7 linked regions of the Callithrix jacchus genome follow. The protein of the gene in region 6 interacts with the protein of the main gene of each other region in a pairwise test. Links are inferred from orthologs where the notes say so. Each region holds a gene or a part of one and is shown on either strand. Other genes may lie near its edges.

The links.
Region 1: the proteins of KRT15 (region 6) and AMOTL2 interact in binary tests that used the Homo sapiens proteins (3 or more experiments, as listed by UniProt). The two-hybrid records come from large-scale screens. The link is inferred for Callithrix jacchus from reciprocal best matches to the Homo sapiens genes KRT15 and AMOTL2.
Region 2: the proteins of KRT15 (region 6) and NUP54 interact in binary tests that used the Homo sapiens proteins (3 or more experiments, as listed by UniProt). The two-hybrid records come from large-scale screens. The link is inferred for Callithrix jacchus from reciprocal best matches to the Homo sapiens genes KRT15 and NUP54.
Region 3: the proteins of KRT15 (region 6) and WAC interact in a two-hybrid assay, tested with the Homo sapiens proteins (4 studies listed by BioGRID and IntAct). The two-hybrid records come from large-scale screens. The link is inferred for Callithrix jacchus from reciprocal best matches to the Homo sapiens genes KRT15 and WAC.
Region 4: the proteins of KRT15 (region 6) and CCNB1IP1 interact in binary tests that used the Homo sapiens proteins (3 or more experiments, as listed by UniProt). The two-hybrid records come from large-scale screens. The link is inferred for Callithrix jacchus from reciprocal best matches to the Homo sapiens genes KRT15 and CCNB1IP1.
Region 5: the proteins of KRT15 (region 6) and KANSL1 interact in binary tests that used the Homo sapiens proteins (3 or more experiments, as listed by UniProt). The two-hybrid records come from large-scale screens. The link is inferred for Callithrix jacchus from reciprocal best matches to the Homo sapiens genes KRT15 and KANSL1.
Region 7: the proteins of KRT15 (region 6) and CCDC120 interact in a two-hybrid assay, tested with the Homo sapiens proteins (2 studies listed by BioGRID and IntAct). The link is inferred for Callithrix jacchus from reciprocal best matches to the Homo sapiens genes KRT15 and CCDC120.

The regions. Positions count from the first base shown.
Region 1 is NC_133518.1:49,808,255-49,812,731, reverse strand, and holds the start of AMOTL2 (angiomotin-like protein 2), read right to left. Parts: upstream 2,888-4,477; 5' UTR 2,765-2,887; intron 2,506-2,764; exon of another isoform or gene 2,020-2,505; intron 1,706-2,019; exon of another isoform or gene 1,664-1,705; intron 1-1,663. UniProt on the Homo sapiens protein: Regulates the translocation of phosphorylated SRC to peripheral cell-matrix adhesion sites. Required for proper architecture of actin filaments.
Region 2 is NC_133504.1:121,963,140-121,967,610, forward strand, and holds the start of NUP54 (nucleoporin p54), read left to right. Parts: upstream 1-1,403; 5' UTR 1,404-1,460; coding exon of another isoform or gene 1,461-1,527; 5' UTR 1,528-1,862; coding exon 1,863-2,067; intron 2,068-2,182; coding exon 2,183-2,344; intron 2,345-4,471. UniProt on the Homo sapiens protein: Component of the nuclear pore complex, a complex required for the trafficking across the nuclear membrane.
Region 3 is NC_133508.1:28,790,270-28,794,561, forward strand, and holds the start of WAC (WW domain-containing adapter protein with coiled-coil), read left to right. Parts: upstream 1-1,560; coding exon 1,561-1,601; coding exon of another isoform or gene 1,602-1,932; exon of another isoform or gene 1,933-1,999; coding exon 2,000-2,035; coding exon of another isoform or gene 2,036-2,036; exon of another isoform or gene 2,037-2,091; intron 2,092-3,534; coding exon 3,535-3,749; intron 3,750-4,292. Other genes in the region: uncharacterized protein LOC144576520, read right to left, coding at 271-603; uncharacterized protein LOC118143121, read right to left, coding at 871-1,932.
Region 4 is NC_133509.1:55,034,147-55,037,915, reverse strand, and holds part of CCNB1IP1 (E3 ubiquitin-protein ligase CCNB1IP1), read left to right. Parts: intron 1-1,654; coding exon 1,655-1,988; intron 1,989-3,769. UniProt on the Homo sapiens protein: Ubiquitin E3 ligase that acts as a limiting factor for crossing-over during meiosis: required during zygonema to limit the colocalization of RNF212 with MutS-gamma-associated recombination sites and thereby establish early differentiation of crossover and non-crossover sites.
Region 5 is NC_133506.1:86,771,333-86,775,101, reverse strand, and holds part of KANSL1 (KAT8 regulatory NSL complex subunit 1), read left to right. Parts: intron 1-503; coding exon 504-628; intron 629-1,614; coding exon 1,615-1,672; intron 1,673-1,893; coding exon 1,894-2,006; intron 2,007-2,771; coding exon 2,772-3,024; intron 3,025-3,359; coding exon 3,360-3,587; 3' UTR 3,588-3,769. UniProt on the Homo sapiens protein: Non-catalytic component of the NSL histone acetyltransferase complex, a multiprotein complex that mediates histone H4 acetylation at 'Lys-5'- and 'Lys-8' (H4K5ac and H4K8ac) at transcription start sites and promotes transcription initiation.
Region 6 is NC_133506.1:91,742,158-91,745,018, forward strand, and holds the end of KRT15 (keratin, type I cytoskeletal 15), read left to right. Parts: coding exon 1-14; intron 15-211; coding exon 212-432; intron 433-1,204; coding exon 1,205-1,230; intron 1,231-1,719; coding exon 1,720-1,817; 3' UTR 1,818-2,101; downstream 2,102-2,861.
Region 7 is NC_133524.1:49,609,851-49,613,619, forward strand, and holds part of CCDC120 (coiled-coil domain-containing protein 120), read left to right. Parts: intron 1-1,412; coding exon 1,413-1,571; intron 1,572-1,688; coding exon 1,689-1,779; intron 1,780-1,921; coding exon 1,922-2,055; intron 2,056-2,737; coding exon 2,738-2,878; intron 2,879-3,287; coding exon 3,288-3,582; intron 3,583-3,769. UniProt on the Homo sapiens protein: Centriolar protein required for centriole subdistal appendage assembly and microtubule anchoring in interphase cells. Together with CCDC68, cooperate with subdistal appendage components ODF2, NIN and CEP170 for hierarchical subdistal appendage assembly.

The sequences.
Region 1 (4,477 bases), on a different chromosome or scaffold from region 6:
ACTCATGGAGATGAGAATTAAGAGGCCTTTGAGCTCCTGGTACAGTGAAAATCCTGGTAAATGATTACTGTGATAACATTCATAGAGGCTTACTATTCCTGGAGAAAGACATAAGAAAACCAGAAGATAATCCACCAGGAACCACTGCCTCTATAGCCACCTACCCATCAAACAGCCTGATGAGCAATTCCAAGGCAGGCCTAGTTCAGATCTAACCACTTAGCTATTCAGTCTAGGGCTGGGTGGGGACCCAGTTTATTGGCAGGTGATACAGAAGGCATGTAGTCCAGTAGAAGCCCTAGGTGAAAGTCCTCCAGGACCCCCCCCAGAATGAAGCATGCCAGAGCCCAGCCCTGGCACAGTCAACCTACTACCCTCTAGCCCACTGAACCCCTGCCCACTTTTCTCACTCTCCCAGAACCAAAGAGCTCCTGGGGGGTGGGCCTGGGCTCTGCTTCATCAAGGGCTGCTGACAGAATGAATCCAGGACTCCCTGTCATGGGATGACCTTGGCAGTCATTCTGCAAGGTGAACAGGAAGGAGGAGGAATTGCACCTGAATTTCTGAATAAGGGATGAATAAAAAGGCTCGACAATGGTTTTGTGAGATGAGGCAGAAAGTTGCCACCCATTAAGGTCAGTGGGTCAGTCTTAGAGCTGACGGTAACTGCAAGAGAGCTCCAGGAAAAAGAAAGGATGGCACGACGTCTTTTATGATTATCCTCCCCAACACACACACATGCACGCACACACGCTACTTGGAAAAGCCCTCACTGGTCCTCTAAGCAAACAGAGGATGGGCTTTCAGCATCTTTCTTGACATCAGTGTCAAGGAAGATCATCTGGACTTGGGCTTTCTCCAACACAAATCTCCAAACTGGGATCCAGGGAAAACTAAACGGACTCCATACTGCCAAACATCCTGTGTGAACAGGCAGGGGTTGGTGGGGAGTGGGAGGAATGTGGCCCCTCCTCTGCCACAAAACTAGCCCGTGTCCTGCTTCAGTTTGGGTTATGGTATGTTGGCAGAACAGCCATTCCCAATCCTTTCCCTCTCCCCACCCCGGGCTCCAGCTGCCCAGAGCTGGGGACTGGGGTATGAGTCTGGAGGGCACCTCTGTACCAATCCTTCCTGGCACCCATTCATGCGCCCCCACACACAACGAGGGGTAGATATTGCAAGACTCCGGCGCTACCCGAGGCAAAGCAAGCAAACGGGATTTAATTCGCTCTGGAGTTTTATCTCGGGGCATTTCCTTAAGATAATTACTCTCTGGCCGACTCCCACAGAGGCTGCAAGGGAGCGGCCGGAAGGAATGCGGAGCCTTCCCGACAGATTCCGGGCGCTCCACAGTGTGCGGGGACTGGGAGCAAGGAACATCTCCAAGGCCTCGCGAATTTGTCCCGGCCAAGCCCCTCAGATTCACGACCTTTCAAATACCAAACGACCGAGCCTTAACTAAAACCTGCTTCCGCGCCCCCGGCCGCGCCCCTCTGCTGCGCTAGCGCGCTGAGCTCTCTGAAGGCTGCCTGTCTAAGCCAGCGCGCGTCGGCTGCCTTGGCCTGGGCTCCAGCTCGCCTAAGGAACCAAAGTGACAGTCTCCAAGCCGGGAGACTCTCGCACCCCAGCCAGGACTCCAGCTCCACCACGACCCCGGGCGGACCTGGATCGCCGGTGGTCGCGGGTACGCCTGGGGCTAGCCGGTGAGGGTAGCCCGTGGCCCGGAGAAGTCTTTAAGCATCGCGGGTCCGCCTCCCTCCCTCTCGAGCCCTCTTTGTTTTCCAAATACTCCAGCGCTGACGTCACCGGGCTGGACAGCAGGCTGCATTCTTTCTAGGTGAGAGCCAATTCGTGTCTCCAGAGAGGATTTTCCAAGGAAGACAAAGAGGAATTCTTGGACTAGTTGGAGGCAAAGGCACCTGTAACCCCCACCTAACCAAATCAACCCGCGAGACCCTGCAAATTGAACCCCAAGCGGCGCCTCCAGGCCTGTCCCCCGTCACCCCCACCCCGGCCTACCTGCAACCCGAAACACCGTCGCCTCTATAGAGTCTGCCCTCTCCGCTCTCCCCCAGCCCCGGGGGACCGGCGCGCTGCTAGAGCCCCGCAAAGCCAGGGGCGCTGGGCTCCCAGGCGGAGCGGCCCTTGCCTGGCACTGCGGCTGCCTCGAACGGGCGCACTACGCCCGGAGTACGCTCGATCCTCCGGGCTCCGACTCCCGGAAAAGGCCGGGCTGCGCCGAGACTCCGGCTTTGGCCGGGGCACGTCTCTGTGGCCTCGCGCGCTCTCCCCAGCGCCAAGCGGCCTTCCTTACCGCTGCGGCCCGCGGGTGCCCAGCACAGTCAGACACTGCAACCCCCGGCTCGGCCCTGCTCAGCTCGGCGGCGGAGATGTATTCTCGGCAGTGGCGCCGACGCTCTGGCAGTTCGCGCCCCAGCGCGCAGCCCCAGGGTCGGTCCGCGCTGGAGGCGGCTGTTATGCCAGGAATGTGAGAGTTTCAGGTTCCCCCTCGGGATCAAAGCGAACCACAAATAACCTCTCAGCGCGCCGCCCTCCTCCGCCCTCCGCCTCCTCCAGCTCCCTCCTCCCGTCCCCCGCCTTCCTCCCGGGAGGCGGCGCTGCTGGCTGAGCGCCGGGCCGGCCCCTGAGCTCCGTTCCTCCGCACTCAGCGCCCTCCAGGCCGCAGTGTGTCCGCCCCTGCCCCCCGCTTTGCGATCGGAGCTGCTGGAGACAATTTAATACAACTCGGCCCATTATTGCTTACACCCCTAGTCGCCGACCCGCTCTCCACCCTTCATCCCGAAACCCATCGACGGAACGATACAGCAAGGGCTGTGCCACGCTTGTCCCGGGGTTGCTGCGGGAGAGGCTCCGGCTGTGCGTGTGTGTGTAAACCGGGGGAGGGGGTAAGGGAAGAAGGACCGCAAAGACGTCTATATCCTCAGGGCTGGGAGCTTGTCCCGGGAGAAGTGAATACTTCCAGCCTCCGAGCCTCTCTTTCCCCTAACCCCCAGTGCTTTCACCCCCGCGGCAACCTTTGAATTGCACTTTTGTTTACAAACACCTTCACCAGCTCTTTTACGAACCTTCTCCACAGGAAGCGTGAATCTGTGTTGGAAAATCCTGTCAATTTGATCCATCTACCCAACCGAATCTCCCGCCGCCAGGCGCTCTGTCCACCTCTTCCCCAAGATAATAGGCGCCCCTTTACGCAGAGCGCAGGGTGTGCCACCGCCGGCTTTTCTCCCAGTCAAGCGATCCAGCCTTGCCTAGCATCCTCCAACGGAGTTCTGTTATCATCCCTGTGTTATAAATGAGGACACCAGGGCTCAGAGAGCTTAAGCAGGGTGCCCAGAGTCACACAGAAAGAACCAGACAACCAACCAGGGGCTGCTTGGGTTTTCATTCTCAAAACCCCTCCGTTGCCATCAGAATCCGGGCTCCCTAGATGGACTGGGCAGACGCCAGGAACCTTCCTCTTTCCACCTGCCCGCTCCTTGTTTTAGTCTCTTCTTTACCTCCCCCTACACCCCTGCCAGCCAGCGGCCTTCCCTTGTATCCACTTCTGTGGCTCCTGCATGGAATCTTCTTCTCTGCCCCCAGGACACTTCGTCTGCTAGGTGCAAACCCCTTCTTCAGAAAGCCTTCACTGACACACCCTGTCCCAGTTCCCACTACACAGGGCCTCTCTACAAGTCAGTTGGGCTGAAGTGGGGGCAGTCAGGCCCCTGTCCACCCAGAGAGTCAGGGCTGATTTCTTCTTCCCCTGGCTGGGTCCTCCCCTCAGCATGGAGTTTGCAATTCCCAAATTCACCGGAGGGAACCAGGGACAAGGAAACTCTGGAAGCTTAATAGCCAGGGACATTGTTAATTTTTAATAAAACTCCCACAAAAAGTGTGTGTGTGTTTTACTTGGAAGCCAAATACTGTTTCAAATAGTGATTGCATCTGAGATGATTGAGCAAATGGGTCATTTGTGAAGAGGTCTCTGGGTGGCCTTACCTTATGGACAGTGTAATTGGTGGAGGAGGGGAATGGTTGTGGACATGTGTACTCTGGGTTGTAAAATCTCGGGAAAGATCACGTCTTTCAGGCATTTGGGGGGATACCTCACAACATGTTTGACAAATATTCTTGAGATGGTTGCAGAAAGGCATCAGTTCAAGGCAGCTAGAGCAAAGGGGGTACATCTTGGAGTGGACAGGCCTGCTGCAGAGCCACACAGGTCCCCATGATTGCTTATTTCTACCTCCCAAGGGGACAGAAGGGGGAGAGGGATCCCAAAACCTAAATGAGAAATGTGCATGTACTTTTCTTATTTTTCCCTTCTCTTTTTCTCTGCATGAAGAATGGAGGGCAGCATCTTCCAAGCATGGGGTGCCGATAGGCTCCGTGGAGCCTGCTTAACCTGGCAGCCACCCCAGCTCTGCAGGGTGGCTGGTCGAGAAGGTGACCACCATTCAGATGTGCCAGAGTC
Region 2 (4,471 bases), on a different chromosome or scaffold from region 6:
AGTCATTAGAGTGAATCGGTAACCAACAGAATGGGAAAAATTTTTTGCAGTTTACCCATCTGACAAAGGGCTGATATCCAGAATTTACAAAGAACTCAAACAGATTTACAAGAAAAAAACAAGCCCATTCAAAAGTGGGCAAAGGATATGAACACACACTTTACAAAAGAAGACATACATGAGGCCAACAAACACATATGCTATTTCTTAAGTATCTCTCAAATTTATTCTAATTCCACTACCAGATACAATCCAAGTCATTCTCATCTCTTAACTGTACAACTACAACAGACTCCTAAAAGCTCTACCTTCCTGAGGCACGCTGGCTCCTTCCAAGCCATTCTCCTCATGGCAGTCAGAGGGATCTTCTAAAAATAAAATTCTAATCATACTAGTCCTCTGCCTAAAACCCCTTAAAGGTTTTCCATTACCCACCAGAAATGGTCTGAAATCCTTACCATAAATTACAAGGCAATATAATATGGTAATTTTTACAAATTGACACTCTGGAGTGGAGAAACATCAGTTCAAAACGACTCCAGAAACTACCTGTAAGGTGACTTTGAACCAGCTGCTTTAACAACTCCAAACCTCAATCCTCTCATCTCACCTTCTGTAACCTATAGTTACAGAAGCTCCTTTATTGAGTTATTCTTAAGATTAAATGATATTACAAGTACAGTGGAGGAGGGCCACTCTTCCCCTCTTTTTCAGTGCTTCCCTTACCAGCTGTGGTTAGGAATACAGATTCTGGACACAGCCCGACACTCTGGTACCTGTTTCCTCTTCCATAAATTGGGGATAGCAGTAACCCACCTGACAAGACAGTTGAGGATTAAATTACGTAAAATGGCTAGAAGAGTGCCTGGCATATAGTAAACGCAACGTGTCTGCTACAACTCCATTCTCTTCTCTTTCATTTCTTCCAGCGTGCCTCCTCTTTACTGCTTCCGCTCCGCCTACTCATCCTTCAGCACAGGATTCAAACACCACCTCCTCCTGGGTGGTTGGGGGTTCTCAACCCCAGTCCAGCTTCGCGACCTCCCAGGCCCGCTCTTTGATGGGGCAGCAACTTCGACCCTATCACATGCAAATTCTAGCTGTCTACCACGTATCCCTACAGTAACAACGTCAGCCCGTGCATACCTTTCCCAAAGAACCTTCCTACGGCCGTTTTTAAAGGACTCTCAGGAGGCACAACCTCGCGAACATCCCAGCCTTTTACCTTAATTGTACCATTGTGATACCCAACACCTTGTGAAACTCCCCGGAAGTGAGCCAGCTGGGGGCGTTCCCGCACAACCACCCACCTCCTACGCCCTTGGCGCTTTCCGGCCTTTTAGGCTCGGCCGGAAAAGAGGCAGAACTCGATGATCTGACTGGCGGTTTCCCCGCCGGACTGAGAAGAGGAGCGTACTGCGGGTCGCGGGAGTGCCTCCTTGGTATCCTGCTCTCGCGACATGGCCTTCAATTTTGGGGCTCCCTCGGGCACCTCCGGCACCGCTGCAGCCACCGCGGCCCCCGCGGGTGAGTGATCCCCCTAGACCTTCACCCGGGAAGGAGGGGAAGGGTCTGGTCCGCCCCCTGTCCGAGACTCTCCGGCTTGGGGATCCTGCGATCTCCCGCCGGCACCATTGGAAAAGGGCGGGCGGCGGCAGAATGGGCCAAGGCCGCTCCGGAGGAGGCCGCGGGGGTACTCGTGGTGTCAGCAGAAGCTCGCGTGCTGCGCGTGAGTTCCCGCAGGGCCCTCGCTTCAGCGGTGCTCTTCCCGCCGCCAGGGATTCCTACTCAGAGAAATTGGAGGTTGCTCCCCTCTTCCCTTGCCCGAGAGTCTCCCTCCCTTCTGCACCTCAGGCTCCCGGATGGGCGGGAATGGTCGCGTGATTCCCGCTGCCGCACTCGGCGAGGATAGGGATAACGATCCACCGGCACTGTCCTTTGCCACCCTTAGTTCCAGCCCCGAACCCTTGTGGTCCTCGCTATGGGACTTATATAGGTCGTGCTTCTTCCATTCCCTCCCCCCATCCACCCGCCTCTGCTTTCTTAACCTGTTTGGAGGAAAACCAGGTTTGTTCACTTCTGTGAAACCTCCTGCCGATTCTTCTAATCCTTATCTTGCTTTCTTTTCTTTTTCCCTCTCCCTCCTTTTAAAATTTTGTTTCTTTGCCTACATGCCTATCAGGATTTGGTGGGCTTGAGACTGCCAACTCCACCGCCAGTGGGTTTAATTTTGGGGGTTTCGGATTAACTGCTAATCCTGCAGTGAACTTTAATATTGGGAATTTCGGTGTTTCTACTACCTCGGCGACTCCGTTCAATTTTGGTAACAGTCTGGCAAGTGCAGGTAGATACTGCGGGTTGTATGTGTAACGAGTATTGGGAGCTGGAGTCCAAGAATATTGTGGTTCCTGGAGTTTGGGAAAAAACAGTAACTTGTCTAATAAGGAAAGGAAATTTATTTCCTTATGTGAAATCAAGAACATTTTTATCAAGTTTTTACTGCCTTAAAAGATGTCGTTTGGAAAAGTTCTGCAAGTTATAATGTTCCTTTATTAAATGTGCACTTATCTTCCAAATGTTAAGCATTTGGATTATAATTTTGAATAGACTATATCTTTAAATTATTAGATTTAACTTCCAAAGTATAAATTCACACCATCCAAGCCCATCCTGGGATTCTTGGACTCCTGCAGTCATATTTCATTTTTTCTGCATCTTTCATTGGGATTTCATTTTATTGTCCTTGTGTTTCCAAAGAGAAACAAATCTTATACGAACAGCAGTAACCTGTTTTGTTTTTTAACTTAATAATGTATTTCTTTGGTCAACTCAGCAGATTAAGATACTATAAGATACGTAATTTCTATAAGATATGTAATTATAGAAAGAATCCAGAATTCTCTGCTAGAATTTTGGGAAATGCTCAAACAGAGCAGTTTAATTTTATGTCAAATAGCACCAAATTCTAAAAGGTAGGGTAGCTGTCTTTGCATTTAAAAATTAAGAAGATTTTTGTATGCATGTGGGTTGTTTGAAGTTCATTAAAAATTTTGCAAAACACAATAATGGTTATTATATATACATTTAAAATAGGTTTATGTGTACTTTACATAGTGACCCTATAGAAAAAATCTTGTTCTTCAGCTGCTCGTATATGAATTTATTGTCCATAGTCTCTTACATTATGCCTCTTATGCCCATGCCAATTATATGCATTTGATAAATGTTATTTACTCCCTAAAACGTACTTGGAAAGTCTGGTGTTTTGGTCATTCACTAGTTACTGCAATGTGATTATCACCCTGGTATCTGAGTTGAAACCTGTTAGAAGAATATTTGAAAACTCCAAAGACAAGATGATCCAGTTTAGTTAAGATGTATTTGAAGTGATCACATATCATTGTCCTTTGATATGTTTATTTTTCCCTGTTTGCTTAAAATTGGCACTGGGTAAAACAGAAATCTTATTTTGAAATTTGTGTTTCCAAATAAAGCCACCCAGCTCATAATTTAGCAACAATAAACTTGTTGGTATTTGCTTGATTTCATGTTCATTTGGAGTCATCACTGTTAAGTTTTGAGTTATGATACTGTAACATGTTTTAACTACTTTTATATGTGTTAACCTTCAGCAAAGGTCTAATAGAAGTTCATGTTTACGTTTTATTTTGTATTCTTGCAAATCCACTATTACTAAAACATTTTTTAATGTAGTGGAGCATGATGAGAAACTGAGTAGTGTTTCTATTGTGTAGCCAATTCAGATTATATAATAGTTATTCAATGGAAGTGAAGAGTAGTGAAAAGAGATTAGAACAGTGCTTAGTACTTTAGGTGATTTTTATGAAAATGTTCACAGTTTACAGTACTGCAATAGAACCTACAAGTAAATAGAATATGTAGTTGTGCTTGCATGCAATATGCAGTTTACTTTTAAGTAGTTTTCCAAATCAGAATTAATGTAAAATGGTTGCATTTTTTTCTTCTTGTATCTTCTATATTACAATATTGATGAATCTTGTGTTGTATACCAGAAATAGAGGCAATTAAAGGTAGATTCTAAAAAACCTGCAATATAATTCTACACTAATGGTTCAAACATTTGTCTCAAAAGGCTTTTTGGTATCACATTGGTAATCAGCTGAAGACTGACGATAAGTTACAAAAATAACAATAAAACTTTTAAATTGGCTAGCATTCCATTTATCTGTCATATTTCTTCAAGAAACAAATTGTTGTGTGGGGTAAGTATATTGGTACGTTACCTTTAGAAAGTTACTTAGTCTTGACAGACTAAGTAGAAATATAAGCTAATCTAGACATAAATTCACCAAATCCAAGGTTGCAACAAGTCTGCCAATGTGATATGTTTGGCACATTATTTTCAAAACATTTGAATTCCTTGCCCCCAAAAAAGTAGTTGAATTAGGGTTTAAAAACCAATAAATTTTACATAGAAAATCCAGGTTTC
Region 3 (4,292 bases), on a different chromosome or scaffold from region 6:
AAAACTTTAAAAAATTAGCCGGGCGTGGTGGTACATGCCTGTGGTCCCAGCTACTCAGGAGGATGAGGTGGAAGGATCCGTTGAGGTCGAGGCGCAGTGAGCCGTGATCGCGCCACTGCACTCAGCCTGGACGACAGAGCGAGACCCTGTCTCAAAAAAAGGGAGGGGAGGTGGGGCAGTGAGACAGTTCAGGGCTGTTTCCAAGGGACCCATCTCCCTAAATTTCCACTATCAAGCACCGCTTTCATTCCCTGCCCCGAATGGTGTTACCCGCTCCGTGCAGGCATCTCCGCTGAGGGCCGCCGTGGTGCACCGCCTTCCGCCTCGGGCACAGCACCCCTCAGCTCCTCCTCTCGGCCGTTTCTCCCCGGGCCAGCATGTGCTCCTTCCCCCTCCGGGGCGCAGGGTGAGACTTACGTCTAAAGGACGCCCGGCGAGCTTGCTGCAGCCCCTGCGCCACGGAGGGCCCGTGGCGCCCGCGGCGACCGGTGAGGGGCAGCGGCCCGGGCTCGGTTCCGGCTTCCAGCAGCGGCCCGAAGGCGCTGGAGTACGCTCCCAGCTACCCAGAGGGTAGCTTTCGCGACTGCCTACCAGGCAGCTCATCGGAAGCGTCCGCCCCTGGTCTCGCCAGGGGGTTTCCGACCTCCCCGCCCGAGCCCATAGGGGCGGGGGCCGCGGCCGGAGAGCTCGCCCGAGGGTACCCCCTCCCGCGGCGCCTCTGAGCGCACGCGCAGCCGCCGCAGCCTCCCTTATTAAGTCCGCGATGGCTTCCCTCGCGCCCCACCGTCCTCTTCCGGAAGGCGGCTCCCTCCCCGCGCAGCCCGGAGCCTCTGGGACCAGCCTCGAGCGGGTGCCCGAGCGAGACTATCCCTAAACGGAAACGGCGGTGGCCGGACTCGCGAGTGAGGAAAAGAAGTAAAGGGCTGACAGGTCGCGAGGAGGAGAGCCAGGCCTCAGAGGAGGAAAGAGGCCGGGGCCAACCGAGGTTTGCCGAGGGCGGCGTTCCGGACCCGCGCGGGGCGGGGAGGAGAGGAAGGCCGAGGGTGGGAGAGGAGGGGCACGTCGGAAACTGCCGAGGTTTCCCGAAGGCGGCAGCGTCCGAGTTGCCCGGATGTAGTTGGTGGAGCGGCGGCGGCGGCACCAGCGGCGGCGGGAGGAGGTGGAGGAGGAGGAGGAGAAGGACCAGGCGGCGGCAGCAGCGGCGGCGGCGGCGGGGGGAGGAGGGGAGGAGGCGGCGGAGCAGGAGGAGGAGAAGGCGGAGGAGGCAGTCGCTCTCCGCGGGGCTGAGCCGGACGCATCTTCTTGCCCCCCTCCCCCCGGTTCGCGCTGCCGCCGTGTAGTTGGCGCCGCTTCCCCGGCTGAGAGTGAGCGTGGTGTCGACGGAGGGAGATGGCCCGGGAGCGCCGGCGCCAGTAACTGGGAGGTGCTGAGAGTCGCCGAGGGCGCGCCGGGCCCAGGTGCCGGGGCTGCCCGCCGCCCGCCGCCGCCTGCTCGCCCGCCCGCCCGCCTCTCGCGGCCGCTCTCCCCCCTCCCCGACACACACTCACAGGCCGGGCATTGATGGTAATGTATGCGAGGAAACAGCAGAGACTCAGTGATGGGTAAATTGTCTTTTCGTTTCGGGCCGGGCGGCGGCGGCGGGGGGCGGCGGCGGCGGCGGCGGCGGCGGCGGGGGGGCTGTTCCTTCTTATCTAGAGCTGGCCGGGCCGCCATTTTTGTTGTTAACCCTGATCCGGATCGGATTGGGGAGGAGGAGCGGCCGCGCGGGCGGGCTGGCAGGGACGGACTGTGGCGGGGAGCGGGGGCCCGGCTGCGCGGCGTTTCGCCCTCCCCGGCCCTCCCGGAGGCTCGGGGTTTGCGCCTTGTGCGCGCTGGGCTCGGCGCCGGGGCGCTGGGTAGGTCTCCCGCGGGGAGGGGCGATTGGGGACCCATTTTCTTCCTCCCTGGCCCCCCACCCACGCCTTGTCTTATGTCTTTGCTTTCTCTTCCTGTTTTTCAGCTGTCACGACCGGAGGGGGGACTCGCAGCCTTACCAGGTACTAGCCGAGGCCGGGTGGAGGGTTTGGAAGGGGCCGAAGGGGGAAGGGAGGGACTGCTACTCGAGCGCAGGCCTCAGAAGTCGCTACAGGCCCTTCGGTGTAACACATCGGAAACCAGCACCGCGGGTCCCCTTAAAATTCGGGGTTTGGTGCTTTTGGCCCTCTCCAGCAAGGTTTAGTGACTTATTTTGACAGGTGACTGGAGGAAGTTCGCTGATTTAGGAAAAAAAGAATCATTTGCAGCCAGGAAGACCTGACTCGATTATTTGCGGGTGAAGGAATCGAAGGGATGAGATGATAGGTGACTTCCGAGGCTTAATTATTTATTTATTGTGTTGGGGAACTGGAAGTTAATGTAAAGGCATTAAAATTAAGTGAAGGACCTGGGATAAATAGCTAAATGACTTACAACTTTTAAGTCGGTAAAAAGTGCTATTTCCCCTTTTAATATTTTTGGTATACTTAATTGCTGTACAAGTAAAAGATGTGTGCTTTTGTTTCTGTAAGAATTGAGATCTTTTGGTACTTGGATAATTCATTCTGATGTAGGTGGTTCTAGGTAGGCGGGTTCCTTTTTGTTACTGCAGTCCCTGCTTGTAAAGTTCTAAGGATTATGATAGAAGTGGCCCCAGTTTTCAGAAGGGAAATATAAATGATTGGTAATCATCAGATGACTACGGAAATCCTTTCTAGATTTTAAAAGATCAGAGAGCAGGTTTCTAACCTGATTCCTGTGTTGTTATACAGCGGAATTTGAAAACACTGTTCTCTGATGTGTAAAACATTGGATATGTCAAAAATTAAACCTTATTGAATCTGTCCTCCAAAGCATAACTAATTACACATTGTAACAGACTAGTACATCATGGTGGTTTTAAGATATGTTGGAATAAAGCTAAACTATTATTTTGAGTGCATTATGCTTGTTTAGAAATAGTATTCACCTTAGTGTATTGGTCAATATTTTTATACCTTAAAATTGTTTCCCACACCTGTAAGAGTAGGGAAGTTAGGTCTGAAATGCTTTATTTGAATCATAGAATTGGAGAAACTGGTGTGTGGGTTTTTTTTTTTTTGGTAGGTTTGCAAAAATACGCGTGTGCTTATTCATATGCTTGTGCATATCAGTTGTATAGCAGAAATTGATTGCAGTGGTACTGAATTTCTAGTTTTCCTCTGAGTAAACTTTCAAAGTGATTTTAAATATTCCCAGAATTTTTTTTTTTTTCAGAATCAGTGTGCCAAGGTGGTTTGATTTAGTTACAAGATAATGGAGTGATTCTTTTTTTTTTTTCATTTAGTATTATGATTTGTACCAGGAGTGTTACTGTAACACTTAAGCATTAGGTTTTGTCTGAGAAACTTTGAAGAATAGAGCAGAATTCAAAGTGGAAATTTAAGTTCATAAAATTTGATGACGTTAATACACCAAAATTTGTTTAAATTAGTTTCTGGAGTTAAGTTTAAGGTTTCAATTCTTTCTCTCTCTCTTTTGGGGGGGTGATGTTTTACAGGCACTTAAGTATTCATCAAAGAGTCACCCCAGTAGCGGTGATCACAGACATGAAAAGATGCGAGACGCCGCAGATCCTTCACCACCAAATAAAATGTTGCGGAGATCTGATAGTCCTGAAAACAAATACAGTGACAGCACAGGTCACAGTAAGGCCAAAAATGTGCATACTCACAGAGTTAGAGAGAGGGATGGTGGTGAGTAGCTTTCTTGTTGAAACTTTGACATATATGTTTCATAGTAGCTGTATATAAAACACGCAGCAGTAGTATTTCAAGCTTGAAATTACTGTGTGGTTATGTCATTAAAATATTTTACTACTATCAGTTTTTTTTTCTTTCCCTTTACTCTAAACAAGTTACTGTAGACATAAGATGCTGATGTGAGCATCTAAAAAGTGGAAACTAAGGCCAGGCATGGTGGCTCATGCCTGTAATCTCAGCACTTGGGAGGCCGAGGTGGGGGCAGATCACTTGAGGTCAGAAGTTCGAGACCAGCTTGGCCAACAGGTGAAACTTGTCTCTATTAAAAATACAAAAGTTAACTAGGCTTGGGGTGGCAGGCACCTGTAGTCCCAGCTACTCAGGAGGCTGAGGTAAGAGAATCACTTGAACCTGGGAGGTGGAGGGCGCAGTGAGCCTGAGGTGGTTCCACTGTGCTCTAGCCTGGGCGACAGAGCGAGACTCCATAACAAAAAAATAAAAAGTGGACTTTAGTGTCTGATAATAAGGAAATGAATT
Region 4 (3,769 bases), on a different chromosome or scaffold from region 6:
TTTCAACTCCTTTGGTTAAATACCAAATAGTGTGTTTGCTGGCTTTTATGGTAAGAGTATGTTTACTTTTGTAAGCAACTGCCAAATTGTCTTCCAAAGTGGCTGTACCAATTTACATTGCCAGCAGCAATGAGTGAGAATTCCACATCCTTGCCAGAGTTTGGTATTGTCCATGTTCTGGATCTTGGCCATTTTAATAGGTGTATAGTGGTATGTCTTTTTAGTTTGCATTTCTCTGATGACATGTGATATACAGCATCTTTTCATATGCTTTTTTGCTATTTTTTTTTTGTGTATATATATATATATACACACAAGAATACACACACACACATTTTTTGTTGTTGTTTGTTTGAGATGGAGTTTCATTCTTGTTGCCCAGGCTGGAGTGCAACAGTGCAAACTCTACTCATTGCAACCTACACTTACTGGGTTCAAGTGATTCTTCTGCCTCAGCCTCTCGAGTAGGTGGGATTAAAGTCATGCAACACTATGCCCGGCTAATTTTGCATTTTTAGTGGAGATGGGATTTCACCATGTTGGTCAGGCTGGTCTTGTGCTCCTGACCTCAGGTGATCTGCCTGCCTTGACCTTCCAAAGTGCTGGGATTACAAGTGTGAGCCACCGTGCTTGGCCCTTTGTGTATGTTTTTTGGTGAGGTACATGAGAAGTTTTTGGTCTATTTTAAATTTTTTTTTTTATTGTTGAGTTTTAAGTGTTCTTCGTGTATTTTGGGTTAACAGTCCTTTATCAGATCTATCTTCTGCAAATATACTCTCCTGATCTGTGGCTTGTCTTTTCATTCTCTCACAGGGCCTTTCACAGAGCAGAGATTTTTAACTTTAATGTAGTCCTGCTTATCAATTTTCTCTTTGATGGTTTATACCTTTGGTGTATTTTGAAAGTCATTGCCAAATCCAAGATCACCTAGATTTTCCCCTATTACTAGCTTCTGGGAGTTTCATAGTTTTGCATTTTATATTTAAGTCTGTGAACTATTTTAGTTTATTTTTGTGAAAAGTGTAAGGTCTGTCTAGATTCATTGGGTCCTCAGTTTTTTGCTGGCTATTGGCCAGAAGCTGTTCTTAGTTACTTGCCTCTTGAACCTTCCTGACATAGCTGCTTTTTTCCTCAAAGCCAGCAAGGGTGAGTGTCTCCTAGTAAGACCTTATTGTCTTAGGTAGTAAACTCATGAAGTGACAATCTGTTACATTGTTTGTAATATTCTAGTCACAGGTTCTGCCCACATGCAAGGGGACAGGGAGTTACACAAGGGTGTACGTACCAGACGACAATGATAACTGTTTTAGAGTCTGTTCTTCATGCTCTGGATTACATGAAAAATGGGATTATATTTCTTAAAAATCTTTGAAAAACATGTCATGTATTAAGACAAAAACTCAGTTCTTTTGGTGGTATAATGTTAGTGGTTTCAGAGTATTCTTCCAGACTTTTTTCTATGCATTTAGTAACATAACTTATTGTTTTCTATATTACCTCATTGTATATACTGATTGCTTCTTAAACTGGGTTCTAAATGTTAAAATAACATCCCTGTTTAAGCATCTTTATTTTCCTTTTGTGTTTGTGTAACATTTTATAGTATATAACTTGGAACCTAATACCTTAAAAATCCTTTCTTTTTTGGAACCAGGTACATCAAGAACGTCTCTATCAAGAATACAATTTCAGCAAGGCTGAGGGCCATCTGAAACAGATGGAGAAAATATATACTCAGCAAATACAAAGCAAGGATGTAGAATTGACCTCTATGAAAGGGGAGGTCACCTCCATGAAGAAAGTGCTAGAAGAATACAAAAAAAAGTTCAGTGACATCTCTGAGAAACTTATGGAGCGCAATCGTCAGTATCAAAAGCTCCAAGGCCTCTATGATAGCCTTAGGCTACGAAACATCGCTGTTGCTAACCATGAAGGCACCCTTGAACCACCCATGATTGCACAGTCTGGTGTTTTTGGCTTTCCGTTAGGTAAGAAAGGACATGTGATACCCAGTATCTGTTCTTTAAATCAATGATTTTTTATATTGCGCTGCCCACTTCCAAGCTAAACTCCATCTCAAAAAAAAAGAAACAAAGAGTATAGGCTCTGAAAATAGGGTAGGGATATTGACCAAATTGTTTAACTTTCTGTGCCTTCTCATCTGTATAAAAGAGGGAGACTAATACCTCATAAAGTTTTGTAAATTATATGAATTTATATAAAACACTTACACCCTAGCACCTAGGAATCAATAATGGCAGCTAATATTACTACAACTATGTGGCTTTTAATTTAACATAGCAATTTTTGCAAGCTTTCATTTTGCAGAGATTAACTCTGCTCAAATTAAAGCTTTAATTTAAATGTAACCAAATACAATAGATAAAAGTGATGATGTACAGGTTGAAATGTGGGTGAAGAATTCATAGCCTTCCACAACTCAAGACCCTTATAGTCCCCACTGAATGCTATAGGACAGTACAATGTTACATTACTTCTCAGGGCCCCTGTGCAACCTTTCATTCCCTAAGCTACGTTTTCTGAAATTTGATTATAGCAAATGGCATGAAATGAAATAGCATACTTGAGAAAAAAAAAAAAGAAATAGCATACTTATTTGAACGGTTGCATTAATCTGACTCTGCCTCTAATTTCTTTTACTTTTTTTTTTTTTCTTGAGATGGAGTTTCCCTCTTGTTGCCCAGGCTGGAGTGCAATGGCATGATCTCAGCTCACCTCCACCTCCACCTCCTGAGTTCAAGCGATTCTCCTGCCTCAGCCTCCCGAGTAGCTGGGATTATAGACATGTGCTACCACGCCTGGCTAATTTTGTATTCTTAGTAGAGACGGGGTTTTTCCGTGTTGGTCAGGCTGGTCTTGAATTCATGACATTAGGTGACCCGCCCACCTTGGCCTCCCAAAGTGCCGAGATTGCAGGCATGAGCCACCATGCCTGGCCCAGAGCTTATACTCTTAACCATTTGCTATGCTGTGAGAAGACCATGTTTCAAATTTTTTCACCTGCCAATACCAATTGTACAGTTCTTAAGTTATTGTTAGTTTGGTTGTTTTGTTCTTTTGTTTATTGATTTTTACATTTATCAAATATTTAGCAAATATGTTTCATGTACCAGGTTGTTAGGTATGATCCCAACCAATGAGGATATAAAGATTATCCAAATAGGATTCCGTCTTTGTGGAAGTTCACAATCTAGCATGATGCCACCATCTCTTTTCCGCTTGTTAGGTGCCTTGCAGATGGAATAAATCTCATTTCTTTCTGAGTTCTGTTCTTTACAACAGAATCTGGTAGATTTTTGCAATGCTATTAATGGAAATTGTTTTTGGCATACAGAAGAGTAAAGCTTCTTGTGTTGGATTTTCCTAATACTCATTTTTGGATATTTACTATAGGTTGAGGAAAAAGGTTTAGTAGGGGAGGAGATGATGTTTTAGAAAAGGTATGAGGTGGTCAGGTGTGGCCCAGCACTTTGGGAGATTGGGGTTGGAGAATCACTTGAGCCCAGGAGTTCAAGACCAGCCTGGGCAATATAGTGAGATGCTGTCTCAGAAAAAAAAAAAAAACAAAAAAAAAAAACAAAAAAAAAAGAGAGGGGACAGGTATGAGGTGATGAGCAGTATCAGGTAAAAGAAAAAACCTGTTTCTGCTTAACTTTGTTACTTATATAATGTAATTTAGTCAGTGTTACTGTAAATGGGCATTATAGATATACTTATTTTTTTTCCTGCCACTGTCCACATTTGTCTT
Region 5 (3,769 bases), about 5.0 Mb from region 6:
TGCACATTTAGCTGAAGAGTTCAGATATCATGACAACCAAGGTTAGATGATTTATTGAGATAGGCCTGTCCTTTGGGCATCTTTCAGGATAAGATTTCAAGCACTGCTTTTAAGGGAGGGCCACTATGAGTCTGAGTCATAAATGGGGATAAAGGAGGGAAACGAGGATTTTAAAAGGAGAGGGGGTTAACAGAGGTATATATGGAGTAGGAACCCCACCTGTGAAATTTAACCAGTCTCTTTACACATGAGTCCATGAAGGAAGAGGGTGACCAGTGGGACTTATGAATGGGAATAACTCCTCACAACTTCCTAGTATTTCTCTGTGAGGTTTTTGCTGTTGTAGTCTGACTCCTAGGTGGGAGCAGCTGCTGTGGTCACTACTCAGTTTTAACCCAAGGACCCAGATGCCTTGTTACTGGTGATCCTGCTTTAAGTCTTGGGTGAATGATTTGATGTCTATAAAATTGTGCCTCCCTTTAAACTTAACTTTTATCTTACAGCAGCAGCCAGTAAGGAGGAGAAGGGGAGAGAGCTCATTCGATATTAACAACATTGTCATCCCAATGTCTGTTGCTGCAACAACCCGCGTAGAGAAACTGCAATACAAGGAAATCCTTACTCCCAGGTAGAAGCTCAGAATAGTTGGCTCCTCTCCTCATTCTTCCTGCTATTGCCTTTTCCCTCTTCTCTTCTGACCAAGCTTTGAGCCCTAGTCTTTGGTTCTCTTTTCTCATTAAGAGAAATTCTTTATCTGATAAGAGCGAAATTATTTCTGTGTATAGTTCTCTCTCATTCCATTATAGGTATACACCAAACGAACCAGCAGTCACAACCTGGTAGACCACTGACTTACTGGTCTAGAGACAGGTTTTGTCAACACATACAGTATGTTTTAAAATACTGAATTTGTTGTCAACATCAAAGCAGGATTTCACATAAAACTCTGGTGGCTCACGCCTGTAATCCCAGCACTTTGGGAGGCCGAGATGGGTGGATCATGAGGTCGAGAGATGGAGACCATCCTGGTCAACATGGTGAAACCCTGTCTCTACTAAAAATACAAAAAATCAGCTGGGCATGGGTGGCGCGTGCCTGTAATCCCAGCTACTGAGGAGGCTGAGGCAGGAGAATTGTCTGAACCCAGGAGGCGGAGGTTGCAGTGAGCAGAGATCGCGCCATTGCACTCCAGCCTGGGTAACAAGAGCGAAACTCCGTCTGAAAACAAAACAAAACTCTGTGTTTCCAGCTTTTATTGCCGAACAGAAAATGAGGCAGCCCTGGATATGCATTTTCATATGGGAGCAGTCAGCTGGTCCTGAACAGTGATGGTCCCCTTTAAACAGGTTTCTTTTCTTGAGTTTGTCACAGTGTCTTAGCCTCAGCCCACCCCAGGCCGCTTCTTTAACTTCTGGCCTTCGCAGGCATTTGAGTAGGTGGCCAATTTCACAGGCCTTGAGGGGTGAGGAGACTGAGCTGTGGTAGGGCAGAGCCTGCCCAACAGAGAGCAGTGTCACGTGGGTGCAGGATTCTCATCCTTGCATGGACACTCTGACCCTGCCCTGGGTTGCAGCCTGCTTGCTATCTCATGATTGTCCGTTCTTGGTTTTGCAGCTGGCGGGAGGTTGATCTTCAGTCTCTGAAGGGGAGTCCTGATGAGGAGAATGAGGAGGTAATGGCATGGTCCTTCTCTTAGAAGAACACGTGTATACATGCGCACATGTGTGCACACACACACACGAGTGCACACACCCTAGATGGCATGACCTCAAGACCTTTGGGTGTCAAGTGCAAGCTCCTTATATTCCTGTCCTGACTGGGAAGAGCCTTGAATGGGGTGGGATTCTTAACTCTAGGAGAAAAGAGGGGATTGATAAAGTTTCTCCGTTGCAGATTGAGGACCTGTCCGACGCAGCCTTCGCCGCCCTACATGCCAAATGTGAGGAGATGGAGAGGGCACGGTGGCTGTGGACTACGAGTGTGCCACCCCAGCGGCGAGGCAGCAGGTGATGGGTCAGGCATGGGTCCCCAGGGCCTGTGGAGAGAGGGTAGACAGGGAGTTGGGGCCCTACCTGAGTCTGTGGAATTGCTGCTGTCTCTTGGTTGGTCATCATATTCATCTACTGGCAGTGGGAAAGTGCTCAGAAGTTCCTTGGTGTTTGTTGGAACTAGTGGAGGTATAAGGAGCCAAGTGCTAAATCCTTGCTGAGGAGTCACTGTTCAATTCTGATAAATACCCGTGATCTGTGCCATTTGGAAGGCAGTTGAGGGGTCATGGTGATTCAACCAGGGGAGCTTGGAAGGCCCCACTACAAGTTAACCTTCCTTTGGACAGTGGCTTTGTGATGCCACTTGAAGGAACTGCCCCCCTTATGTCCATCACTACCCAATCTCCATTTATTGTTAACAGTGGCAGAAACCCTCGGGATTCTCAAGTAGAACGTTTTAGGGGCTCTTATTTTTACTTTTTTTTCTTTGACTACAGTTTTCAAAGTCTATACGAATCTTCCTTACCTCCTGAATTCAGTAGGCATTTTGATAGCGACTCACCCCGGCATTGTTCAGCCATGGTTTTTTCTTGGGATGGTAGATGTTTTATACCTACCCCTCCAGAGAGTAGTGGGAAGAATGGGAATTGCTGGATCCGAAGGAAAATCTGTTAGTCTTCGTTCACATCAGCCCCTCCTGTGGGGATGCTTTTTTTCATGCCCTCTACCCCCATAAATAAACATATTTCCCAGGCACTCAGATTTGCATTCCTTGATGTATAGGTCCTACAGGTCATCAGACGGCCGGACAACCCCCCAGCTGGGCAGTGCCAACCCCTCCACCCCACAGCCTGCCTCCCCTGATGTCAGCAGTAGCCACTCTTTGTCGGAATACGCCCATGGCCAGTCCCCTAGGAGCCCCATTAGCCCGGAACTGCACTCTGCACCCCTCACGCCTATGGCTCGGGACACTCCGAGACACTTAGCCAGTGAGGATACCCGTTGTTCCACGCCAGAGCTGGGGCTGGATGAACAGGTAAGGGACACAGCCTTTGTGTGGGGTTGGCGTGGTTAGGGATGGAACCAGGAAGGGACAGCACCTGCTGAAGAGGGATCTACATCATAAGCCATCTCCTCCTCCCTTTTGAAGGGACAAGGGGCTGCACTTAAATTGACCTCTCAACGTCCAGTGGAACTGTACTGATGATTGTTAAAAAGGTTCCCACCCTATGAGGGGTGTTCCCAGACTACCTGGGGAACTCCAAATAGACTGGTCCTAGGCTCCAGGCCACAAGGTTTATGGCAGAGCCTTGGAGCAGGAAGCAGGCTGGCTGCAACTGGGTCCTCACAGAGCAACTTGTCTGCCTACAGTCTGTCCAGCCCTGGGAACGGCGGACCTTCCCCCTGGCGCACAGTCCCCAGGCAGAGTGTGAGGACCAGCTGGATGCACAAGAGCGAGCAGCCCGCTGTACTCGGCGCACCTCAGGCAGCAAGACTGGCCGGGAGACCGAGGCGGCGCCCACCTCGCCTCCCACCGTCCCCCTCAAGAGTCGGCATCTGGCAGTAGCAGCCACAGCTCAGCGCCCGACTCACAGATGAGCGGGAGACAAGAATCTAAACAGACTCACTAACTATTGGCATTAAAGCTTCAGAAATCTCTGCGTTTGATATTCAAACATCATATGCCGGAAATTTTCACAGTTTTTAGTGAACTTAAGGAATTTAGATCCTACTTTGGTATTTTTTTTTCCCTTAATTTTTGTTTTGTTTTGTTTCCTTGT
Region 6 (2,861 bases):
CCCAGCTCAGCATGGTACGGCCACCCGCGTCCCCCATCCCGGCCTCTTGGCTAGTAGAAACTCCCACCCTTCCTGGCTAGTTAAGTCTTGGAGTTCTCAGGTCCCCTCTAGAGGTGGTTCCCTGCATTCCATTCAGTGCCCCCCGCCTCCTGCCTGCCCTCAGTGGGTTCCTTTTCAGCCTAATGTGTCTATGTACCTGTCGCTCCCCCAGAAAGCTGGGCTGGAAAACTCTCTGGCGGAGACGGAGTGCCGCTATGCCATGCAGCTGCAGCAGATCCAGGGGCTCATCAGTGGCCTGGAGGCACAGCTGCGTGAGCTCCGCAGTGAGATGGAGGCTCAGAACCAGGAGTACAAGATGCTGCTGGACATCAAGACGCGGCTGGAGCAGGAGATCGCCACCTACCGCAGCCTGCTTGAGGGCCAGGATGCCAAGTAGGGGCCTGGGCACAGGGGGAGGAGTGCTGAGGGCTGGTGGTGGCTAGGGTGCAGGGTCATCCTAAGGGAATGGCAGGGCGTGGCAGCCTGGAGGAACTGTGAAAAGAGAACTGAGCAAGGAGAGAGGATCTGAACTCTGCACTCTGGTCCTTGACTGTCACCTGGGGCAGGTCACTTCCTCTCTCTGGATCTGTGTTTCTTCTGCAAATGATAGAGGCTAGGCTAATGATAGTGAAGATCTAGTGCTCATTCGGTTCTCTGCATGAAATAGATGGGTATTCTTGTAGATCAGAATCTCAGCCAGGCGCGGTGGCTCATGCGTGCAATTCCTGCACTGTGGGAGGCTAAGGTCAGGAGTTTGAGACCAGCTTGGCCAACATGGCAAAACCTCATCTGTACTAAAAATACAAAAATTAGCCGGGCATGGTGATGGGCATGTAATCCCAGCTACTTGGGAGGCTGAGGCAGGAGAATCACTTGAATCCGGGAGGTGGAGGTTGCAGCGAGCCGAGATCATGCCCCTGCACTCCAGCCTAGGCAACAGAGGGAGACTCAGTCTCAAAAAACAAATAAAAAAACTCCAAAAAAGAATCTATCTACTTGGGGGTGGCAGGCCTGGATGGGCTAGCAGGATGTCCCACCCCTAGAGGAGTCATGTGTGTGGGTGGTGTAGGTTCTGGAGGAGGCTGCAGAGCTATCTACGTGAGCTTCTCTTAGGGACACCTGAGCTCCTGCCCTTTGCTTAAGTTAGCTTCCCTCTTTCTTTCAGGATGGCTGGCGCTGGCATCAGGGAAGGTAGGAAGGCTTCACTCTTTTGGTGTGGGATGGGGAGGGCCACCACTCCCTGCAGAAATTGGGAGGGAAGGAGAAAGAGCCCAAACGTCCAATTAGGTGGAAACATTCCCATTCCATTACCTCTTTCCCAGCGGGCCCTCTGCCAGCCCCAGGTGAGAGTGGGTTGGCGATTTATTGAGAAACTTCCAGGTTGAGTAGGCTTCGTTCAGGGTATGTCTCTCCCCAGGCCCCATCTTCATGTACTTCTGCTAAGATGCCCACAGTGAATCCCCTTTTGAACACAGCTTCAAAACCCTCATGTCGTTGCCACTGCCCAGCTCTGTGACAAGGAATTAATTCAACAACAGATCTCTGGCAGCTCTTAAGGGGTTGGTTGGTGGCCATTCTCAGGGGTGCTGTCTAGTTTCCCCAAAGCCCCATCAAGGTCCCGGCCACTTTGGGAGAGAGGGGAGGTTCCCCTATTCCAAAGCCTGCTCCTTCTCTCTCTAGCCTCTTTGGGAGGTGGCGGTGGCAGCAGCAATTTCCGCATCAACGTGGAGGAGTCAGTGGATGGAAAGGTGGTTTCTTCCCGCAAGAGAGACATCTAAGTGCCCATCGCAGGAGAAACGTCCCTCGACACCCCCTACTCTCATCGGGCCAAGTGGAGGACTGGCCAGAGGTGCTGCATATGCAAACCCCAGTCCCTGCCTTCTGAGAGCTGGAAAAGGTCCCTCGGCATCTTATTTCAGGGCTTTGCATGCGCTCTGTTCCCCTCTACCTCTCTCTGACTTCTTTAGAGCAAGGAGGTGCAAGAAGCAGCTGTATTGTGTAATGAGCTCATTTGTACGGTGTCTGTTCCTGCAATAAAGAATTACTTTTCCTTTTGCAAATATATCTTGGCAATATGCCCAGTCTTTCTTGATGGGGTCCTGGCTGGCCTCTGACCTCTGAGGAGACCCAGGGTCCACATGCTGACTGACGTCTCCCCTGACTTGGGCCTCTTCCCTGTGTGGCCACAATTCATTCTTTTGGGTACCCAGGGCGCTGGTGGCTGGGACAAACACAGTGCCACTCAGGCGATTTGCTCTTCTGGGTCACCAAGGGGTGACCAGGGAAGTGAGGGTTGGGAAGTTCCCTTAGAACAGTTTGGTTTACCCAGCACGGAACTCAGCACATCTAACAACTGTTCATATTTACCAGATGACTGATTGCACTGATTGTGTTGGTGCACCACTGCATGGCTGGCACAATGCCAGGCACGCTCACCCACGGGGCTCATTTAATCCTCACCACTAGGTGGTCAGGATTTTATTCCCACCTCAGAGATGAGGTCACTGGAGGCAGAGAGAAGAAGGACTTGCCCCGGGCCTTGTGGATGGATGATAAGCAGCAGGGCTGGGCCTGGGCCTGCATCTGTAGGACTCCAAGACCAGTGCTTGCTCTAGGACCGCAGGCCTTCTTCACAGCCTGCTGCTGGGACCCTCCTCCTTGCTTCTAACCCTCACCATATGTGCTGCTCCAATCTCCCCTCCTTTCTAGCCAGGCATAACTGACCTCCAGGGTGGCCAAGCCAGTTCCCATCTTGACTGACACCTTTTCCCAAAAGGCACTTGAAGCTGACACCTTTTCCCAAAAGGCACTTACATTGCCCA
Region 7 (3,769 bases), on a different chromosome or scaffold from region 6:
AATTGGAGCCCCAGTGAGCTGGGGTGTGGAGAAACTCCTGCCATGCTGGGAAATGTCAGACCTTAGATGAGTGGGGATGTGAATGCCTCTGCTGGGGCCTGGGTTTGTCAAAAGGCTTTAGGGACTGATTCCCACCCCTGCTATTGAAGGCAGGGCACCACTGCTTCAAGAGAGGGGTACAGGCCCTATGGGGCAGGTAGGAGGACTCCAGAGAAAACTGACACCTTATAGACAGCTTGGCCTCACCCTACGATATACAGATGGGGAAGGGGCTTGAACCCATGCCTCCTTGGTTGGCTGGGTCTTCCTCACACCAGGCTAACAGTGTCATGACAAGCTGCCAAGTTCAAGGTAGGTGATGATGGGAACTCTGTGGCCCCATAAAACCCTCCCAGTCACCTGCCATTGAGGTTAGGCCAGGTGGTGGGAGGTGATGTCACTCAGCTCCCCAGCTGGGGACTGAGCAGGATGTGGAAGGGAGGGAGCAAACTCCAAAGGAGGGGACAAGGGCAGGGCTGGTGGCCAGCCAAGTCAGGCTCCATGGTCAGCAGAGGCATTGAGGGCAGAGAAGGAGGCAGGAGGCAGGAGGCAGGTGGTTTGTTATTTTCAGCTGTGGACTTTACTTCTTACAAATTCCAGCAGGGGGACTTCCCTAGCTAGGCTCAGGACAGGCTGGCATGGGAAGAGGGGCTGGAGGGACCCTGGGTCAAGTGAACCTAGTGAACACTCTCCTTGCTGCACTAGAGCTACAGAATGGAGTTGGGACAAGCACAGACCCACAGATCTGGGCTTGAACCCTGGCTCCACTGCCTCCTCATTCATTTACTCCGTCTTTTATTCATTCACCTGGCACCCATTCATTGAGCACTTGCGTGTACAGCCGTGTTCAGGATGCTGGCAATGCTGATGAAAATGGGACAGATAATGTTTTCTATCATTGCGGATGTTCCAGGAGGCATAATCTCTTGTTGGACAACCATTTGTGAGAGAATATAACACAGGGGCCCCCTGTGGAAGTGATATTTAAGCTTTAGAATGATAAGTGACACGAAGGGGCTGGGGTGGTGACAGATTGAAGAAAGCATTTCAGGCAGCAGCCACAGCCTGGGCAAAGACCCTGAGGCCTGAGGGACCAGGGAACTTATGAGGAAGTTGGTGGAGTTGAAGCGGTTCTCGTGAGCAAGAGTGTAGGTCCAGGGGGTGGACCTGGGTTATGTATGTGGCTATGGGCCAGTTATTTCACCTCTGTGCCTTCCTCTCCTCATCTGTAAAATGGGAGTATGAATCTTCCCAGGTGGCTGTGAAGATTCACTGTGGCATTGTAGGTAACTGTTGCAGGCAACCAGGTGCTGACTGCGTGGCTGTTGTTCTTATGGTTGGTTGAATCTGTCCCATTAATTCTCCCTCCCCAGGCAAGACTCCTGGCTGTGACCCATGGGCCTCTGAGGAGGCGTTGTAAGTCCGCCCAGCTCCCCACTTGCTGTGCTCCCACTCAATGCGAAGGGAACCAAGGTACCAGGGCCAAGTGGGTCCAGACATCCACACGGATTCTGAAAGGGCAGGTCAAGCAGGCACGTGGGGCCCAGGTTACCCCTTATTCCCTGCTGTGGCATGGGAAGTTGGGAAGGGCTGGGGGTTGGGGTATCATGGGACGTGCTTCCTTAACGGCTCCTGTGTGTCACTGCCAGACTTTGTCCAGCCATCAGCCACGGCCTCTCAACAGCACCAAGATGGAAGTCAAAGGTCAGCTGATCAGCTCTCCTACCTTCAATGCCCCAGGTCGGTGGCTGCTTCCCCTCCTGTTGCCTCCTCCCCTGCTCTAAATCACCACCTGCTTGCTTGGGAAGAGTTGGTCCCTGGCCCCACAGCTGCTCCAGGATGCCCTGGCTGTCCCACTGATCTTTGCTCCCTCTGTGTCCAGCTGCCCTGTTCGGAGAGGCTGCCCCCCAGGTGAAGTCAGAGCGTCTGCGGGGGTTGCTTGACCGGCAGCGGACCCTACAGGAGGCCCTGAGCCTGAAACTTCAGGAGCTCCGCAAAGTGTGTCTCCAGGAGGCGGTAAGGGCCTGGCCCTAGGGGTGTCAGGCGGGGAGGTGGTGGGGGAGGTGAGGAGCTGGGTCCCCTAGATAGACAGACTTGGGTGGCAGTTGTTCAACCACTTGTCCTGTCTGTGTCACCCACTTTTCTCTGTCACCCACTTTCTCAAAGCTCAGCTTAGCTGTGTTAGAATGAATGAAATACGGTAATACAGGCACACAATCCCCTGTCGACAATTTCAAATCCAACAAACCTTAGAAAACAGGTTCTGTTCAAAATTTGGCAGCACAGTCAGACCTGAACTGGCACAGGGTGATGTGTAGTTTCAGTTTCCCCCTCTTACTGTGAATGCCCACAGTGTGCCAGAAATAATACTATAGCTCAGACCACGCAGCCCCAGCCCCCGAAGGGAGTTATATAATACTTAGGATCTCGATGGTATCGCTTTTATAAAAATGAAACAATTTTGGATCCCAAAGCAGGTCTCCCTGCCTCTCATGCCCACCACCACAGGGGTTTGGGCCATTGAGATTTGGGCACGCCTGCCTGTTGGACATAATGGGAGGAGGAAGGGAAGTATCGTGTGTGGGTGCTGAGCAGGGCCAGGCTCCTGGTAGGACTTCTGTAGCTTCTGGGATCATTAATGTGTTACCGCATCCTTCCAACTAACCCTTGGTAGTCTCTGACTTCTGCCCTCCACCAGGAGCTGACTGGCCAGCTGCCCCCTGAGTGCCCGTTGGAGCCTGGTGAACGGCCCCAGTTGGTCCGCCGGCGGCCCCCCACAGCCCGCGCCTACCCTCCACCACACCCCAACCCAGCACACCACTCCTTGTGCCCTGCTGAGGTGAGCAGATGGGTGTGGAGAGCAAGAGGGTGGGGAGAGGGGACAGGTACAGAGGAGTAGCCAGGAGGAAGGTATGGGGAGGGGGCTTGTGGCCAGGTGAGGGAGAGGCTAAGGTGAGAAGGAAAAGGGCTTCTGGAGGTAGGTTCCTGCAATGAGGGAGGATGCTGGTCCCTAACTGTCAGGACAGGCCTCCCATGCTCAGGAAGATAAACAGTCCCAGTCCTTCACCAAGAGAGGCCCTGCCCTGCCCTGCCCTGCCCTGCCCCCTCCCCTCCCTGGGGTAAATAAGTTCCACCTGCAGGTGAATAGGCCTGAATAGGCCACTGGAAGTGCAGGACAGCCTCTAGTGGGTTTGGCTCCACCAGGTCCCTGTGCCTGGCCATTTCCAACATTTGGATGGGCCCGACAGGAGCTGGCTCTTGAGGCCCTGGAGCGTGAGGTGTCGGTGCAGCAGCAGATTGCAGCAGCTGCCCGCCGCCTGGCCCTGGCCCCTGATTTGAGCACCGAGCAGCGCCGGCGCCGGCGCCAGGTCCAGGCAGACGCACTGCGGAGGCTGCACGAGCTGGAGGAGCAGCTCGGGGACGTCCGGGCCCGCCTTGGCCTCCCAGTGCTCCCACCACCCCAGCCACTGCCACTGTCTACGGGGCCAGTGATCACCGCCCAGGGAGTCTGCCTGGGCATGCGGCTCACTCAGCTCAGCCAAGGTGAGCATCCCCTGGTGAGGGTGAGAGAGTGGACACTGTTGAATGGACGTGGTAGGGCTGGGATGGGTGAGTGGCCGGGAGGTAGGCACAACTCAAGTAGCCCAACCCATGTGAAGAGTTGTGACAAACTGGCTCATTGGAAAGGGCAAACTGAGGGGGACTGATAAATATCTGCCGGGTCAGGAAC